Linked DNA regions of Schizosaccharomyces pombe. The gene in region 4 interacts genetically with the main gene of each other region. Each region holds a gene or a part of one and is shown on either strand. Other genes may lie near its edges.

The links.
Region 1: mutations in sgf29 (region 4) and lsk1 are lethal when combined (synthetic lethality), as found in Schizosaccharomyces pombe (2 studies listed by BioGRID, with this or other methods).
Region 2: mutations in sgf29 (region 4) and utp4 together harm fitness more than expected from each alone (negative genetic interaction), as found in Schizosaccharomyces pombe (2 studies listed by BioGRID).
Region 3: mutations in sgf29 (region 4) and deg1 together harm fitness less than expected from each alone (positive genetic interaction), as found in Schizosaccharomyces pombe (2 studies listed by BioGRID).

Annotation. Positions count from the first base shown.
Region 1 is NC_003424.3:3,952,046-3,957,397, forward strand, and holds lsk1 (P-TEFb-associated cyclin-dependent protein kinase Lsk1), read left to right. Parts: upstream 1-1,750; 5' UTR 1,751-2,425; coding exon 2,426-3,373; intron 3,374-3,419; coding exon 3,420-3,510; intron 3,511-3,525; exon of another isoform or gene 3,526-3,576; coding exon 3,577-4,255; exon of another isoform or gene 4,256-4,306; coding exon 4,307-4,370; 3' UTR 4,371-4,824; downstream 4,825-5,352. Other genes in the region: SPOM_SPAC2F3.16 (ubiquitin-protein ligase E3), read left to right, coding at 5,098-5,352. UniProt on the Schizosaccharomyces pombe protein: Catalytic subunit of the CTDK-I complex, which hyperphosphorylates the C-terminal heptapeptide repeat domain (CTD) of the largest RNA polymerase II subunit. Involved in RNA polymerase II transcriptional elongation and pre-mRNA 3'-end processing.
Region 2 is NC_003423.3:3,702,903-3,708,286, forward strand, and holds utp4 (U3 snoRNP protein Utp4), read right to left. Parts: upstream 3,384-5,384; 5' UTR 2,973-3,383; coding exon 840-2,972; 3' UTR 554-839; downstream 1-553. Other genes in the region: sac11 (inositol polyphosphate phosphatase), read left to right, coding at 3,830-5,384. UniProt on the Schizosaccharomyces pombe protein: Involved in nucleolar processing of pre-18S ribosomal RNA. Required for optimal pre-ribosomal RNA transcription by RNA polymerase I together with a subset of U3 proteins required for transcription (t-UTPs).
Region 3 is NC_003424.3:4,160,841-4,164,707, reverse strand, and holds deg1 (tRNA-pseudouridine synthase), read right to left. Parts: upstream 1,990-3,867; 5' UTR 1,909-1,989; coding exon 556-1,908; 3' UTR 501-555; downstream 1-500. Other genes in the region: dia4 (serine--tRNA (Ser) ligase), read left to right, coding at 1-51, 109-430; splicing suppressor Mss51, read left to right, coding at 2,720-3,856.
Region 4 is NC_003423.3:2,418,235-2,421,916, forward strand, and holds sgf29 (SAGA complex subunit Sgf29), read right to left. Parts: upstream 1,812-3,682; 5' UTR 1,748-1,811; coding exon 1,299-1,747; exon of another isoform or gene 1,198-1,298; coding exon 912-1,197; 3' UTR 504-911; downstream 1-503. Other genes in the region: pvg3 (galactosylxylosylprotein 3-beta-galactosyltransferase Pvg1), read right to left, coding at 1-68; BAR adaptor protein Hob1, read right to left, coding at 2,556-2,624, 2,693-3,682. UniProt on the Schizosaccharomyces pombe protein: Chromatin reader component of the transcription coactivator SAGA complex. SAGA acts as a general cofactor required for essentially all RNA polymerase II transcription.

The DNA.
Region 1 (5,352 bases), on a different chromosome or scaffold from region 4:
ATATACTAAACGAAACGATAAGACATAGCCAAACTATGAAGGAATTATGCATATAGCATTTGAATAAATTAAATACTGAAAGCTAAAAGAGCTGCTATAGAGTACAAACTCAGATTCTTATATCGCACCTGTGATGAATAAATGTTTGAAGAAGCGATTTTTATTAACGAAAATATAACATAATAAAAGAGCTTATTTTTTTTGCTTTGCTTTAAGATATTAGAAGTACTCTACTTTTACCCCATATTAAATGTTGAATAAGAAGATATGGTTTTCGCATTTGAAAGCACAACGTCCATGTCTTTTCGATTAAGATTCATTAAGTATTATTGGTGAATATAATTGAGTGCAAGGGACTCTCTCGCTGAATTTACCATATGCAAATATATCATAAATCCACAGAAACCAGTATAGGATGTCCGTTGAATAAGGAAAATTTTATTTAAGTCTAACTCTGATAATACGTTTTGTATGTCAGTCAATTGAATATAAGTGCAAATTTTTATTTTTTTAATGACCTATTTATTGTAATAAAATCACGTTTCTTTGTTAAAATTGCACAAATTGAGTAAGCTATATAAATATTTAGAATTGAATATATACATATGAAAGCAAACATTTGGTCGTAGGATCCTTGTACACTTGAATTTCTATGATATTTTATTATTTCATATTAATTATGCTTACGTTTTGGAATTTTTATAAAAAATTATATCGTACTGGTAGTAGCCGTTTGTACGATCATCTACCTTTTTATTTTTTAATTTCATTAAACAAATTTAATTTATTTGTTTGCATTTTTGAAAAAAAAAACTTATAAAAAATCAATTATGCTCATTTAGCTTTTTGCAATGATTTTTTTTTTTTTTAAACATTTAGTTTAACTAATGAGACTATTATTTAAACAATATTGCACCAAATTTATGTCAAAATCATCACTCTTAAAATTGAATAAACAACAGGAACAGAATTCCATGAGTTATTCATCTTGAAGCTCTTGACCTAACCTTGTTCTTTCTAAAACCAAGCATTTTTGTTTAATTTTTAAAAAAATATTATTGATTAATTTAGCTTTGCAAACAATTTGCACACAATAGATTTTGAGAGGCTGAATATGAATTTTTAATGTTTTGAAGACTGGCGTTCTACTAGAACGTCCAATGTGATAACGTTATACTTATGAAAGGATGTAAAACTTCTATATACAGTAAAATAATATATTCCCTCCTACCTTACATGTAAGGGTTGCATATTATTGATTATTTTACTTTGTATTCTTTAGACTCACGGAAAACACTAATTTATGGTAGAATATTAATTTCTCATAAATAATATTATTTTAAACGATTCAAAACTAATAGAAAAGCTCAGACTTGCCTTTATCTAGTCGACATTTGATTCCTTTGGTTTACTATCGCCAATGGCAATTTCCAAGGATCCATGCGGATTACCAGATTTATCTTCATCGCTTTTTAAAATGTTAAATATGAACTTAATATAATTCAGATGAAAAGGTTTAATCCAATAATATTATATGAATTGAGAATAACTGGTTGGACTTAGTTAATAGTTAAAAGACCATCTTAGCAAATGGGGAAGAGAAAATGGCTAAGAGTTAAGCATTGAATAAATACATTATTTACTTTGATTTCTATAAAACAAGCTGATATTCATCATAGCCTCAAATTACTTATTATTTTAAGTATGGTGTGGTAAAGGAATTGAGTCGCGCGCGTTTATTTCTATTTCTACTACACACCAACAACGAAGTTTACCTATCGCCCCTTGATTAAACTAGTGGACTTGCAAACTACTTCATTCATTGTCATAGAAGAGGAAGAACTAATTTATTTCTGTCTTTATTAAATTTCGAGATAATTGGTGTTTTTAACAATGTACATTTTGAATTGATAGATCAAAGAAATCAGGAGTGCAACTAAAAGAAAATTACGGTATATTTTTTTAAGCTGCAAGAGTTGATACTTAAAAGTATTTCCTAATTTTGTGGATACTCATATTTTGTACATTTACGTTTCAATAACATTTCTGCAACCGACTTATTCACAAATCTCTGGTTAGATTTCTCTATTGATTGAAAAGGTTTGTCTCACGTTCACCCTTCATAGTTTAGCGGTGAAAAAAATCTCCACTCTGAAAATTGTCCTTTCTTCATTTATTAGATTGCATGATTTATTTCACTGGATTTAACTAGCTTGTCTTGGCAGCTTACCTTTTATTTCCCTTGTACGATTTTTTTCCGGTGAAGTTGTATTTATTGTTACATAAAAACACATTTGGCCGTACTTTAACGATTAATTTCTTTTCTTTTATTCCCATCGAATTTTCGCTCACAGATTGCGTGTAATTCTCTTCATTGTTTAGGAATATTCCTTTTTTTATTTTTTATTTTTTTTAACCCTGTTAAATGTCATACTCGAAGAGTACAATTTATCGCCGACAAGGCACAGAACCAAATAGCCACTTTCGGCGTACCGTCGAAGAAAAGTCTCAGCTTTCTGGTACAAATGAGGAGTCTTTAGGAGGCCACACCCTGTCCTCTAATGCTTTCAAAAATAATTCATCTAGTATATCGCCATCCTCATCTGCGAAGGATCCTCGAGAACAGCGGAAAAGAACATTTCCTCTCAACGATACACATTCTTCCCGAGCAAGACAGCATGAAAGACCTTTTCGTTCTCGAAAATCTAGAAGGAGAAAGGGTAAAAAGGCATTCAGTCCTAGACCTGGCTCACCTCCATCACCTTCCTTTTACCGCTCAGGTAGTCAAAAACGAGCACGTAATTTAACTACCAAGGATTACTTTGCCAAACGCTCTGAAAGCTCTTCTAGCGCCTCCGTCTCACCTATATCACCGTCCGCAAACAGAAATGATTCAAAAAGGCAAGCTTCTTCTTTTCGAAGGTCTCCGCCTAGTTCTGTACATATGAAGCCTTCAGCTTTTAACGGTCGAAAGGTATCGCGGAGACCTTCATCTTCTCCTCCCCCTATTCCTTCTATCCCTCATGAAACTACTTCCTCCGATACACAAAAAAAATCTAGCGTGTCTTCTGGCTTTCCAGAGAACAAACATGGAAAATTTCACTTTCATATACCTAATGAACGCCGATCTCGATTCGATCAACCTCCTTCGAAACGTATGGCACTCACGTCCACGGCCCGTGAGTCTGTTCCAGCTCCTCTTCCTTCTCCTCCTTCCGGCCCAATTTATACATATACATATCCAAAGCCTGCCTATGAGAAAATCGACCAAATTGGAGAAGGAACTTATGGTAAAGTATACAAAGCCATTAACACAGTCACAGGAGATTTGGTAGCTTTAAAACGGATAAGGCTGGAGCAGGAAAAGGATGGTGTAAGTATAAAAATCAAGCTCGTAACTAAATTGACTAACTTTCTAGTTCCCTATAACTACTGTCCGTGAAGTCAAAATCTTGCAGCGTTTGCGTCACAAAAATATTGTTCGGCTATTAGAAATTATGGTGGAAAAAAGTACGATTAAATACTGTCCTCATTCACCGTTTAATTATAACTAGTTCTAACATTTTAAAATTCTAGGTTCTGTATATATGGTATTTGAGTACATGGATCACGATTTAACTGGAGTCTTACTAAATTCACAATTACATTTTACTCCCGGTAACATAAAACACCTTTCGAAGCAAATTTTTGAAGCATTAGCTTATCTTCATCATCGTGGGGTGCTTCATCGTGACATTAAAGGTTCTAATATATTACTGAATAACAATGGTGATCTAAAATTCGCAGATTTTGGTCTGGCGAGATTTAATACATCTTCGAAGTCGGCTAACTACACTAATCGCGTTATTACCCTTTGGTTTCGACCTCCAGAGCTATTACTTGGAGAAACTGCATATGACACAGCCGTGGACATATGGAGTGCTGGCTGTATTGTTATGGAGTTGTTTACAGGAAAACCTTTTTTTCAAGGGCGAGACGAAATCAGTCAGTTAGAGGTTATCTATGATATGATGGGTACCCCTGATGTTCATTCTTGGCCTGAGGTGAAAAATCTTCCTTGGTATGAGCTTCTGAAGCCAGTAGAGGAAAAGAAGTCGCGTTTTGTTGAAACTTTTAAGGAGATTTTAAGTCCTGCCGCCATTGACCTATGCCAAAAACTCCTTGCCCTAAATCCCTTTTGTAGACCGTCAGCTCATGAGACCTTGATGCATGAGTATTTCACTTCTGAGAGCCCACCTCCAGAGCCAGCAGTCATGTAAGTATAAAATTTATCGTTGAATGATATTTATCTAACTTATGTGTTTAGTTTGAAAAACATGCAAGGAAGTTGGCATGAATGGGAAAGTAAAAAACGAAAATCTAAAAGATAAATGAGCCAGAAAATTTTGTCAAGGCGAAGCTATGCAAGCTGGACAAATGTTTAAAAAAAATAATCTTTATATTTCATTTAATTTCTTTGTCTCGCTTTACTGCGGTCTATCTTCTATATATTTTGTTAACACTAGGCAGAGTAACAAATTTGTCTGATGCTGGACAACTTTTTTTCATTTTTTGCTCTCTTTTTCTTCCGAAAAAGATGAAATAAGAACACTAATAGCTCATGATAATTAAATGTTCCACTGGTTTATTTGACTATTATAACTCTTTCACCTTTTAAGAACTTAGAAATCAAAGGCTTGAAGTCTTGAAATGAGCTTGGTACTGTGTACAAAAAAGATAAATTCAAAGGACTCGTATGAATTTATGATGTGGTTTTCTTTTAATCAGTCAACCGTAGTAATAATAATTTGTTTACATATACTTTTTAATAATGTTAAGGTGCAGATGTTCTCAAGAGCCTGCTCAAATATTTAGTAATGATGATTTAACAATTAAGAGAGCAAAAATTAAGTTACTATTTGAATGCGTAGCTTAAAATTGATCAAAGTATATCTACGGCTTTTACAATAGTGTGATGGCACGGATATCACATTCCGCATTGCACTGGACCACACTATAAGTCAACACTGAACTGATCGAGGAATAGGTAAGCATTCCCCTTCTCCTTTTGATCAAGAACCATCATTATAACAAAAAAAACAAACACAAAAAAAGTCGATGTCATTGTCGGAGTATCTTCGTGAATTCGCTGAGATTTTTGAGGAAGCTGCACAAGAATTAACCTCAATATTCGAACTACCTCCTGACCTGTTGAAAGATATTACTGAAGAGGATGTTGGGACTGATGACTCTTGTAATAAGAAATTCCTTGAAGTTCAAAAGCAAAAAGAAGATGAAGAAGATGAAGAAATATTGAAAGGAGTGGATTTAACGCAGCAAGATTCCGTACGTGAAAAAATCCACGAAATACAA
Region 2 (5,384 bases), 1.3 Mb from region 4:
TATTACATTTTAAGTGGGATCGTAGTAACTAAATGGGGGTACATAAAACTGGTACTACTAAACAGATTTATCTAAGTTGTGAACAAATTTCAATAAACAAACGAATGTATAATCTCATCGGCAAGAAAATAATTTTTTACGTCAATCACTTATTTCACTTCTTTATTTTATTTTGAATATATCAAATGTAATCAAGTTTAGAAACGTAGACGGGTTCATGTATGAGCTTTCTTCGTTTCATTTGCATATATATCCTTTGTAAGATTCTGTTACTTTGAATATGTTTTCTTTATAAGTTGTAGATGGTAATTGCTACTCTTTAAATACAAGCTGTCTTCTACAATAATTTTAATTTTACCAGAGTATTTTTAATTATCCTCATGCGAGTAATTTTCTAATTATGTGGTGTAACAAAAATAGCGTTCGGTTAAATTTTAGTTCGCCGTGTTAAGTCTATTAATCAAAAAATTTGGGTTCGTAAAATTGTACGCCTATCTGCCTAGAATCAAGTGAAACCATATTACAGGCATAATGCTCCAATCGATAATGGGAATAAACAACTCAGACTTTGGAAATTCACAGCTACATTGCCATAATCATATTGTGGATGGGTGTGTCACCTTGAAATGTTTTATTGATAAACTAACTAGCAACTAATCTATGCTTTTTATCGGAAAAAATAAAAATAAAATAAACTCCTATAATAAAAGACCTTTTTGTACAAAATCATAATAATACCACCCTATTCCAGACATTTTTTTTACGTAAAATGACATATTAAAACCTCTTCGTTTTTTTTAGTACGAAGAAACTCCTCCATCTTCATACATAATACATATTTACGAGCCAAATTTGTGCTCATAAAAGCTTGCTGGCATTGATTTACTCATCAACATATCGGCGATTGGTCGTTCGACTACCAGCAATTCAGAGTTTCCTACAGAGCCTACAAGTAGCATTGGTCGATATTTGTGAGTAATCCAGAAACACCTAGAATCCCCTGTTCCATAATTTGAAATGCCGTTCGAATTAGCATTCGCCAATTTTTTGTCATTCAGATTCCCGTCAACTGTTGCATTCATTTCAATTTTACGTTTTCCGGCAGCGCGAGGCGCTGGTAATTGAAGATTAAGATCGAAAAATGAAACCCAGTTGGCTGACCAAATCCAGAATCGACTCGGATGTTTAGAGTCGAAAAATGCTCCGAATGCCTTATCTAGAAGTTGCGAAAATTCTTTGGGCATATTTGTAGAATTGTTTTTTGACCATTCAGATAATTTACGGGATTGAACATCAAACTCATAAACTTGATTTCCCGCCGTAGCAACAGCTAAACGGCCTCGTACATCTGGACGAAAAGCCATTGCACGAACATAAGTGTTAACTCGTGGTAACTCTGAATATGTTAAATTTGACAAGGAGTAGCAGAAAATATTTCCAACTGTGTCCGCAACAGCAAAATAATCTCCATCCGAAGATACCGCTATACTGCAAATACCATCACACATGCTGCTTACATTGCTTCGCTGACGAGGAGCAATTTTCTTGCTAGTGGGTTGTGATAACTCGAAAACTTCTAGCTGACGAGAATCCAGTCGACTTAATTCAATGAGAAATATCTCGGAATCGTTACTAACAAGGATAAGCTTGTTCTTATCTACAGTAAAACTAAGCAGGCTAGCACCAATATTTGAAAGGAAGGAGTCCTCAACTGTTTCAACTTTCACATTTTCATCGCTATACTGTAATTGATAAAGCTTCGTCCTCAAAACGGAAGAAATTGCAATTAATTCCCCATCAGGAGAAATTGCTGCATGTGAAATATTTTCTTCGTCAGCCAACACAATTTTTAATAAAAACCTATAGCCAGGAGACCCAATTCTCCAGAGAAGTACTTCATGATCATTCCATAACATAAAAAGCCTTGCTTTCGGTGCGACCGCCATGCGAGGGCGTTGAGGAACGGCAGATATCATCCTGTGATTCTTGCGATTAAATTGTCGAACAGGAATTACCGCAAGCATCATATCCATACCACCGCTAATAAGAACATCCAAACTTTTACATTCAAAAACGGCCATACATCGAACATCATGAGAATGGAACCTTCTAAAACTGTTGCTGACCCATTCTCTTTTACCTCCTTCGCGTGAGTACTGAATAGTTTTCCTGTCAATCCCTGAAGAAAATACCATATCTCCGTTAGCAGAAACACCCAAACACAAAGCATCAGCCAAATGTAGTTTGAACGATTGGCTTAATGTAAAGAATTTTCCATTCCAAAATTTAACAGCACCTGATGAATCGGCACTTACGATAGTGCCATCCCGTAAACTTTTCACGGCCCAAATTAAAGCAGCTTCTCCTTTTCGAGCACGATCTACTTGCATTCTAGAAATTATAGCGGAATTTGGAGTGCTAAGATCCCAAACTTTGATAACACCGTCAGCGCAACCACCAACAAGATGATCTTTTGTTTGAAAGTCGAGCGAAAGGATACGAGACGTTTGGCGCATCAAAACTCGTTTAAATTCGATGACACCTGGGCCACCACTAATGTCAAATAGAACGCAACTTCCATCATCACATCCAACAGCTAGAGTTTTAGTTTCATCGCATATAGCGATTGACCAAATAGCTCCTGCATTAGAGTCTTGGTTTACCAATGGTTTTCCAGTATGTAAATTCCATTCAGTAATAGTAGTTGAAAATCCTATACTGAATAATCGTAGCTCCTCTTCACCGGTACTCCAAACAATCCCTTCAATACTGCGATCTACACCACCGTATAACACAGTTTTTAAGCACCAATCGTTTCGAGGGTTCCATATTTCAATGTTTCCGCTAGCACGTCCAACAGCGAGTAGTAAATTGTTAGGCATAGAATCATTCTGACCGCTTTTATGGGAAAATGCCATTGCAGTAATAGCTGAAGGGGTATAGTCGATAAAGCGACAACGATGAATATCCATGTTGCTAATTAAATTTAAATAAAAGAAAGAACGAACAGGAAACTAATCAGAAGTATGTATGGAAAAAATTATTTTTTTGCACCAAAGTCAATTTCCCAAATCAAACCCAAAATATCGCCAAAGTCGGCTATTAGCTAGATAATTGTAATCCTTTTTTTGAAAAAAATATAAAAGAAAAAATTTAAAAGGTTTCAATGGAATAAATCAACTATGTTTTCGCTCTTTTTTTCAAAAATGAAAATTTTGATGAACGAGTGAATCCTCAGGATTCAACCACAAAACGAAGATCACAGTAGTATAGTGATTTCAACGTGAAGAATAATCAAAGTATCTACTATTAATATTACAAATATGTATTATTCTTCTAAAGCACTCTTCAGAGTGTCCTTTGGAACTCCGTTGGTAAATGGTAGTGGAAGAAATTTGTATTTACAAGGCTAGCACAACATGACCAAGAGCATCTACCATATTTAGGTGAAAGTGCGTTAGCAGTTATGTGTACGGCAATTAAGTTTTGAAAGTATTCATGTTAATTATTTTACATTTTAAGATGTCAATGAGATATTTATTCTCAATATTTAAACAAACACCAGATACCCTAGGAATAATTCAGCGACCTTCAATATGATCATTGTAGTATAATATTTTATTGAGGATGGATACTTACTAGCAAATTTAGTAATTGATAAATCATAGTGAAAATGTCATTTATTCTATCTACGATAATACCACATGACTTAGCATAGAAAACCGTATGTTACAGTACAGCAGTAAGCAGGTTCGTTGTCTGCCGTCTACCAACCATCAACTTCACAGATCTTGGTATCTATCCTACAAAAACTTTAGAAAATTTCTTCATGGTTCAGTTTGAAGCAAACGAGAAGCAATTTAAGCTTCGTCGAGAAGATTGTTGTTTAACAATTGACCGAGAAAGTGGTGCAGTTAGTTTTGAGCCGGACGAGTTGAAACCAGTTGCCCGCAGCAAAGAAAATAGTGTCACATTGTTTGGTTCAATCAAGCTGAAAAAAGATAAATATCTTATTTTAGCTACAGAAAAATCTAGTGCAGCCCAAATTTTGGGACATAAAATATATCGTGTTCATAAATTTGAAGTTATTCCCTATCGTAACCTACTAGCTGACGATCAAGATGAATTGGATTTATACAATTTGTTACAAAATCATTTGAAAACAGGACCTTTTTACTTCTCGTACACATGGGACCTTACTAACTCCCTACAACGTTCTTGTACGGATGAGGGAAAGGCCTCACCTATTCTTCGAAGTGATAAACGATTTTTTTGGAACGAGTTTGCTAGTAAAGATTTCATTGATCTTATCGGTGCCCATTCTGAAGTATCACTTTTCATTACGCCAATGATTTACGGCTTCATCACTTCTGCTTCCACTATTGTTAAGGGACGAACAATCACGTTAGCATTAATATCTCGACGCTCTAAACAACGCGCCGGTACTAGATATTTTACCAGAGGTTTAGACGAGAATGGAAACCCCGCCAACTTCAATGAAACTGAGCAGATTACTATCGTTTCAGACGAAAAGTCAGAGGTCACTTATTCACATGTTCAGACCCGCGGTAGTGTTCCTGCTTTTTGGGCAGAGGTTAATAATCTTCGCTATAAACCATTGATGGTTGCAAATTCTGCTTCAATGGCTGCAGCCGCTGCAAAAAAGCATTTCGACGAGCAAATATCCATATACGGTGACCAGGTTGTAGTTAATTTGGTCAACTGTAAAGGACATGAGCTTCCTATTAAACAGTTATATGAAAATGTTATACGTCGTTTGGATAATCCCCATATCCATTATCATTATTTTGACTTTCATAAAGAATGTAGCCATATGAGGTGGGACCGGGTTTCACTCCTTTTAAATGAAATACAACCCGAGTTAGAAGAGCAAGGCTACACTACATTAGACACTCAAAAGTACCGTGTTTTATCTCGTCAGAATGGCGTTGTACGCTCCAACTGCATGGATTGTCTTGATAGAACCAATGTGGTCCAAAGCTGTATAGGTCGCTGGGTGCTTACGAATCAACTTCGTAAATGCGGAATTATAGGTGCTACCCATCCCCTTCGTTCCGTCATTCCTCTTGATAACATTTTTTGCAACATTTGGTCTGATAATGCAGATTACATTAGTCTTTCTTATTCTGGTACAGGAGCTTTGAAAACCGATTTTACTAGAACCGGTATTCGAACTCGAAAAGGCGCTTTTAACGATTTTGTTAACTCTGCTAAACGTTATATTTTAAATAATTTTTATGATGGAGCACGTCAAGATGCTTATGATTTAGTACTTGGACAGTTTAGACCCGATGTTAACTTCCGATATAGATTAGATTTACGTCCTCTTACTATTCGTTGTGTCCCTTATATATTATTGGCAT
Region 3 (3,867 bases), on a different chromosome or scaffold from region 4:
GATTGTTAATTTTCAAAAAGAGTTTGTAGAAACTTTAAAAATACCCGCAAGGTACATATCAAATCTAACAAAAATACCACTTTAATGATCTAATGCTAACGAATATAGAATTTTGAATATGCCAACTGCGGAATTGGGATCTTCGGCCTCTCAAAAATATGACATCGAAGCGTGGATGCCAGCGCGACAATCATACGGGGAGATAACTTCAGCATCTAATTGTCTTGAATACCAAGCTAGGCGTCTACTCACACGATATCGAAATGACAAAGACTCGGGTTTTGTTCACACACTGAACGGCACAGCAGCTGCCATCCCTAGGTTAATAATAGCTATCCTTGAAAATCACCAACAAGAGGATGGCACTGTTAAAGTTCCGGAAACCCTTGTCCCTTACATACACAAGGAATACCTTTTTAAAGCAAAATAATTTTAGTACATCATAAGTCTTACTTACAACTAATTATTTAAGAAGGTTATACTAAAATTGATAATATATTTTGGACCAAAATAAAATTAGCAATTAACCTAAAACCTGTTCTGTCATAAGACAATCTATTTAATATTTTCACTCTTCACGTCACTGTCTTTTAAACCTTTTTTACGTTTATATCTTTCATTGACGACCTCCACTGATTCCTGACGTTGTCTAGAAAGAATTGGGATGTACTTTTTTGTTCGCTTCAGCAATCCTTCACCAACGTTCATAGTACTGCTTGACTCTTCCGATTTGCCATATCTTTTTACATTATGATCTGCTATGTCAAGCATAAACGAAGCTATCTGCTCTCGAATACGTAGACTATGCCACTGATGATATATGGTTTCATATGTATGTTTAGCGATACGAGGAGCAGTCGTAGGACTATCCGTAGGTAGTGTCCATTCAATATTATCAAAGTCACAGTCGTACAAAATCAAAGGATACTCACTTGCCATATCATAAATTGGCTTAGTAGGGACCTTTTTAATATCCAAAAGATCATTGATGAGAGAGGCCGGCTCAAGCTTTTGACCAATTAAAAATAGAATGGCCATCATACATCGTACCTGATGCCATAAAAATGCAGTTCCTTGTAGGTCAAAAGCGTAAAGACCGGTACTGGGATCAATGCAAATAACCTTTGAACTGAGAATTCGACGGTGATAATTTGTAATTTGTTTAGAAGCATCTATTTTGCAAAAATTTCGAAAGTCATGCTCACCTAGATAAAGTGCTGCGGCTTCATTCATTCGATCAATGTCAAGAGAACCACCGGGATAATCCTTAGTAAACAAGTATTTATAATGACGCTGTTTACAGGAAAATCGAGCATCAAAGCCTTCTGGTGGAAATGCATAGCCAGTAATACGTATATCTGCGGGCAACAGGCGATTCAATACATCACAATATATGATAGGTCTTCTTTCTGAATGTCGTACATTTAATGATATAACCTGACCCATGGCTGAAACTCCCTTATCAGTACGTCCACATCGACTAAAGGAACATGATGAAGGATCAGTGATGAGATGAGCTCTCAACAGCGCTTCAAACACCTTTCCTTCAACAGTGGGCAAAGGAGTCGGTTCTAACTGGTAGGCAAGACCATTGTAATTCCAACCACAATAGGCAAATTTAAAAGCAACAAAAACTGTTTTTTCTAGTTGAAACGGTCTGACAGGTTTCAGTTTTGGAAGACTACTTGCGTCCTGAAGCGCATGTTGCAAAACTAGTTCTTGGCTCAGATGCTGGGGTTCTATTTCATTTCCATTATCCAATTTGTTTTTATTTTTAATTACTTCATTTTTCCCCTCAATTTCTTTATTGGGAAGTGAATTTGTATTTTTTTGCAATTTCCCGTCCAATTCTAAAATTCTGGATATTAGCTGGTCTCGAGACCATCCAGCATATTTGGAGGCGGGCATTCGAAGGATTTTAGAAAATTGAAAAATCTTGCCTGAATTATATTGCCAATTTAATTACTGCCTTTGACGAGGTCAGGTGGCAGACGAATAGGTTCGCAAGGCTCTGATAATTAATGACTTGCTTGTCATAAGAGGCAGACATTTTCGCAGTAAAGTTATAAATCATCTATGTAACATTGAGAATTTATCAGATATATTTTTAGTTGCTCATTAGTACAACAGCTTTGGGATTCTGTATGGTCAGTTTGCAGTCTTGTTGGGCCAGCTGGAACTGTTACTAAAATATTGAGTTCACTTTACATTACGAGCAATGAAAATTATAGAAGCTTAGATTAACACAGCTACTTTCGAGATGATTCGTATTCCTTATAGTTGCATTGTAGACTTCCAATAAAGAAAGTGCATTTCCCGTTATGCAATTGATTTACTAGATAGTTCTTTAATATCAACATTATTGAAAATCACCTCTTTGTTGAGTCAACTCAATACTTAATATTTTTTTAAAGAATAAAATTCGCTACTGAATGTCGGTTGCTAATGAACAAAGCAATTGCTTCTACGAACTAATTTGTTAATTTTTTTTACTAAGCATTTCAATAGTTTGCCTTGTTAACGTATTTTTTATGTTCCTTGACATTTTTAATTTTAGTTTCTTCGTCTGCTACTAAACACGTTCACCTAAATCAATACTTGTTAAATTTAGCTGCAACACCGACATAAAAATTTATTTCATTACCTATAGTTACATTGAAACCGGTAGAAGGTTGTTTTTTGGTTCAAGAGTGACGTTTCGCTTATATTTTTTTTACTTATGTCGTTTTTAAAAAATCTCTTCAAGAAGAAATCCCCAACTCATGAATTATTCCATCCTTTATCGCGTTCTCCCTTAACGGCTCTTCGCCGTCGCTCTGAGCATATCAAACAAGTCTATCGGTGTCCAATTTCGGGAAAGTCAGTGGAATATGAGTGTCCTGAATCTGGATTTCCTACTCATTGTAATAGAACTCATTGGGAACAGGACAAGATTCACCAATCCCTTATCCCAAAACTACGCCAAATTAATGAAGACTATCATGACTTAGCACGACCAAACCCTTTGCCGGAACTACTCAAACTTCCTGGACCCATGGAAGAAGATGAAGTAGTTTCTCTTCTGTCATGGGATTCATTCTTCTATACCCGCGATTTCCCAAAGTTCCAATCGTCTAGAACTGCTAGACATATTACTAGTTTATTAACATATCCCATGTCAATCGGCGCTATCCTTCACAAGAATTCTCCTTATAATTTAAAAAATGGGTTAACTCCCCAGGGTCTACAATCATTAACTGCTCTACGATATATGCTTCATCGTCCTTTGTCTGCTCAATCTACTGATCCCAGACCCACTAGAATTTTCGTTTTGGGTGCTACCAAAGAATGTTCATTACCACCATCAATTTGGTTACAAGGATTGAACTTTTTGTTCCCAGGTCGTTTATTTCAATTGCATTTTATCGGACCTGAAGTTGTTGTTCCTTCTAAGCAACCCAATTTGCCTTCCCCACTCAGCCTTCATTTTCATCAGGATTACTACCACAATTTGCATAGAGTTGGAGCCTTTGAGCCTTTTGACCCCTACTATGATACTTTTTTTCTTCCGATGCCTCTTATAAGTCATCCACTTTATTCTTCATCGTGGATTCCGACACTTCACGATTTGGTATCGACTCGTTGCTCTGTATGGCTCACAAGTCCTTCATCTCAAAGAACAACCAAAGATTTGGAAGTTCTTAATAATGTTTTGAAAGATTCAATTGAGCCCTTGTTATTGCCAACTGTTAATAAATTTGCCAGCTTAGGCTGGTCTGTTGATGATTCAAACCTTCATGAAGTTTATCACGCAAATCAAGAAGTATTTGGATTCAGAGCCCTTTATTATAATGTCCAAAATGTTTCCAAAGAGTAATTCTTGTCCGT
Region 4 (3,682 bases):
AAGGAAAAAGTAGCAACACCGGCAATTAGCACGTAAAGAAAAATTTTTTTTTTAGAATTTGAAAACATAGTGAAAGAGTTTAATTAAACGAGCACGTTGCGCCAGGAGGTCAATTAGAGAGACGTGAATATTAATTGTCCCTTTGAATAAAAGAATAAAATAAAACCAAACTTAAAGATCGTTGAGAATTAAACAAAAGACTCCTTGAATATATGAGCCAGCAAACAGAATATAACTCTGAAAGGAGTATAATGTTTGGTTCTGAAAACAAAGCTGTGCTTGGTGCCATATTCACGTCCACCATAAATACGCAGTCATAATGTAACCAGAAGAGCAGCTACTCAAACCCTTAATGCCCTCATAGCGTTGGTAACTATAAATGCGTTAACTATATATACCGGGTTGCTACATTTCTTTATCTCAGAGTCCATTAACCAAAGGATTCATACATATACAATTTTTCTATTTTGTTTATTTTTATGAATAATTTAATAGGAGATACTCGTTAAATGAACTTAGTTTTAGTATTCAGTTTCCTCTATAGGTGTTTGAAATTTTTTCTAGACTGTCATGTTACTACTATTTTTTAAAATTAGATTCCTTGCAAAATGTCAAGGAAGCAAGCAGATTTGGCGTACATTAGCAATGTTAGATGTGCAACACGATAGAAGCAAGTACTTTGAATGAGCCCTTGTCTTGGCTTAAGTTATTAACATGCGTTAACGCCATTAATATATAAAATATAAGGAACAACTCAACATCACAATGAATAAAAAAAATGTTAAATCTGAGTTATGCATATTACAGATAATGTCATCAATTTTTTTAAATGCTGTGAACCTAATATCGAAGTGAATAAAAATAACCTTTAACTAATACCTCCTAAAAAATCTGAGTAAAACGTTCCAGTTTTAACCATTGTACTCTAACACCAAATGACGCTCTACCACTGTTTCTTTCCCAACTTCCTCTTCTCCTTCAAATCGAAGTTTACATGATCCATCAGGCAGAGTGCGAATGACTTCTGCCCGATAAAACGTAGTAGTTTCAGGATATCGAGCTAAAACATTTGTTTTTGGGCTTATTGGGGGTAAAGGAGTTCCTTTTGCAGGAATTTGTATAAGATGATTAGCTGTAGTTTTATAAATTTGACCTGCATTACCGTCATCATCCGGTTCTGGATCCTGCACTTCAAATCTATGGTTTTGTTAATATACTGGTAAAAAAATATTATCAACATATAAGCTTAGAAGTAAATTTGAACTCGCGACTGACAATATTTGCTTTTGAAAACTCACCTCTGTTTTGCTCCTTCTCCAGTCACTTTAATAATGATACATTGAATCCAATCACCTCCCTCGTTATGCCTCGTGTATGGTAACTTGAAAGCTACAGACATGCCAGGTGTAAAGGTTACTGTATTTGCTGTAAAGCTTGTTCCTCGGTTTCGACGACTTCTCGTCAAAGGACTATTTGTAATTACAGGTTTTTCATTGGCTTTTTCGAGTACATTAATAATCATCTCAAGAGATTGCATTGTATGCTCCAATTCTTTTTTCTGTTCTTCAGAGGTTTGAATTCCCGCGTCACACGCTTTAATTCTTTCTTCAATTGGATTATCGTCGCCATCAACCGTTTTATAACATTCTTCTTGTTTTATTAAACTAGACCGAATGGGATTTAGGCTTTCATGAAATTTAACCCACATGGATGTCACATCCTCTTCAGCATTTATGGGGCGTACCATAATATCCTGTAACTGATATTCTCAAACAACACTTTTCATCATCCAATTTCCTTTGGTAGGTGCTAACTCACTTACTAGATTGATTTGCATGATACTATCAGCTATGCAAATTACTTTATTACAAATTTCATTAACACTCGATATTGTATTTACCGTATCGTTGCTGCATTAGGTTACGTAGTTAACTATTCACTTAAGTCATGGAATACTGTCTGTTAACGAAGTTCGTTAAACGATTCTCGTTTAGCAACGACTCTAAATACTGTATGTCGTATATTTCCTGCTAGAATACATCAATTCCGATTGTTATACTGTTGAAACTACAAATCCCAAAAAATTCAATATCACAATGAAAGCTCTAGTTCGAATCATGTTTTGCTTCAATCCTAGCTAGCACTGTTAAAGTATAGATATAAGAAAGGACAGCTTTGTTGATAGACTAGTTAAATTAAAATAAAAACAGTTAAACGTAATTAATATATATAAGTTTACGTTATTCAAAACATTTCAAAAAATGTGCTACTCTTTGAAGTACACGTCAGTAAGGAAACACGTTGATAAAAAGCCAGTATTCAAACATAGACAGTGTTAAATTATCACTGGAGATGATGATGTATGGAATACATGTCTAAATTTAAGCATCATAGTTAGAACGACAAAATTGATAGAAATTGAATAGCAGTGTAAAACTTGTTGAAGCGCGCACACAAACAGTAACCTGTAACAACAAGTCCTATAATCAAGCTTCTATATTGACTTCAGTAGGCAGCGAGATTTTAAGACACATCTAGGTAAATTTAAAAACGCTTTATTCAAGCTGAACATAATTACCAGGAAATTGACCTTGTGCACCGTTAAGTCGGCCAATCCACCATTCCTAAAATATATATTAGTAAAGTCCTTGTTTAATAAGAAAAAAATGAAAATTTAAGTTTAAGTACTTACATTTTGATTATCAGTACGTGAAACAACTTCGATACGATCGCCAGCATGAAAAGATAAATCTCCGGCTGCTTGGGCAGCATAATCATATAAAGCAACAACATGCTCTGCGGCGGGAGCCGCAGCAGGTGCAGGCGCTGGTGGAGGTACGGGAACTGCGGCTGCAGCTGCTGCTACCGGTGCAGCAACAGGTGTGGTCACTGCCGCAGCAGCAGGTTGAGGCATAACTGGAGGGGGAGGAAAGGCCGCTTGAGGGTATTGAGCAGCTGCTGCTTCAGTTGTAGTAGTGGTCGTCTGAACAGTTTGATAACCTGCACTTGGGGTAGAATAATCGGAAGCTCCGGCAACCGATGGCGTTGAGTATGGGGGTGGAATATCCGTAGCTGTCGAAGAGGAGGGTTCGGCTGCTGCTTCTTCACGCTTTGACGAAAAGGAAGAAGAAGAAGAAGCAGTTGCATCTTTACCACCCGGTCCCATACCCGGTCGTTTATACGTCGGTTTAGCGGTCTTAAATTTAGTAATCGTCAAAGCCTCTGCGCGATCTTTAACATCGCCGCGTCTTCTTTCGTACGATTCCAAAATATCGGTATTGAAATCAAAGTACTGAATTTCGCAGTGACTCATCTTTTCATAAAGAACGTAATAGACATTTAATTGCATATAGTAAAATCCTTGGAATAAGGGAGCAATGAAGCTCTGAGCCAATGCAAATAGTTTAGGTAACTCCTCCTTCAGCATTTCATTATAATATTCATATTCTTGGGAAGATTGTTCAAAGGCGGTTTCAGCTTCATAAAGCTTCTTCTCATCTTTAAGGCTTTTATCCTTCTTTTCCTGAAGTTTCTTGAAAGATGAACGATGACGATCATAATCCAGCTGCTTATGATCGCGTTTCAACAAAAGCTTATCTACATCCTTAACAATCTTGAGCAGTTCACCAGTTGGATTGACAATGCGAGTGTTGATAACATCCATTTCAGAAGCCAAATTCTT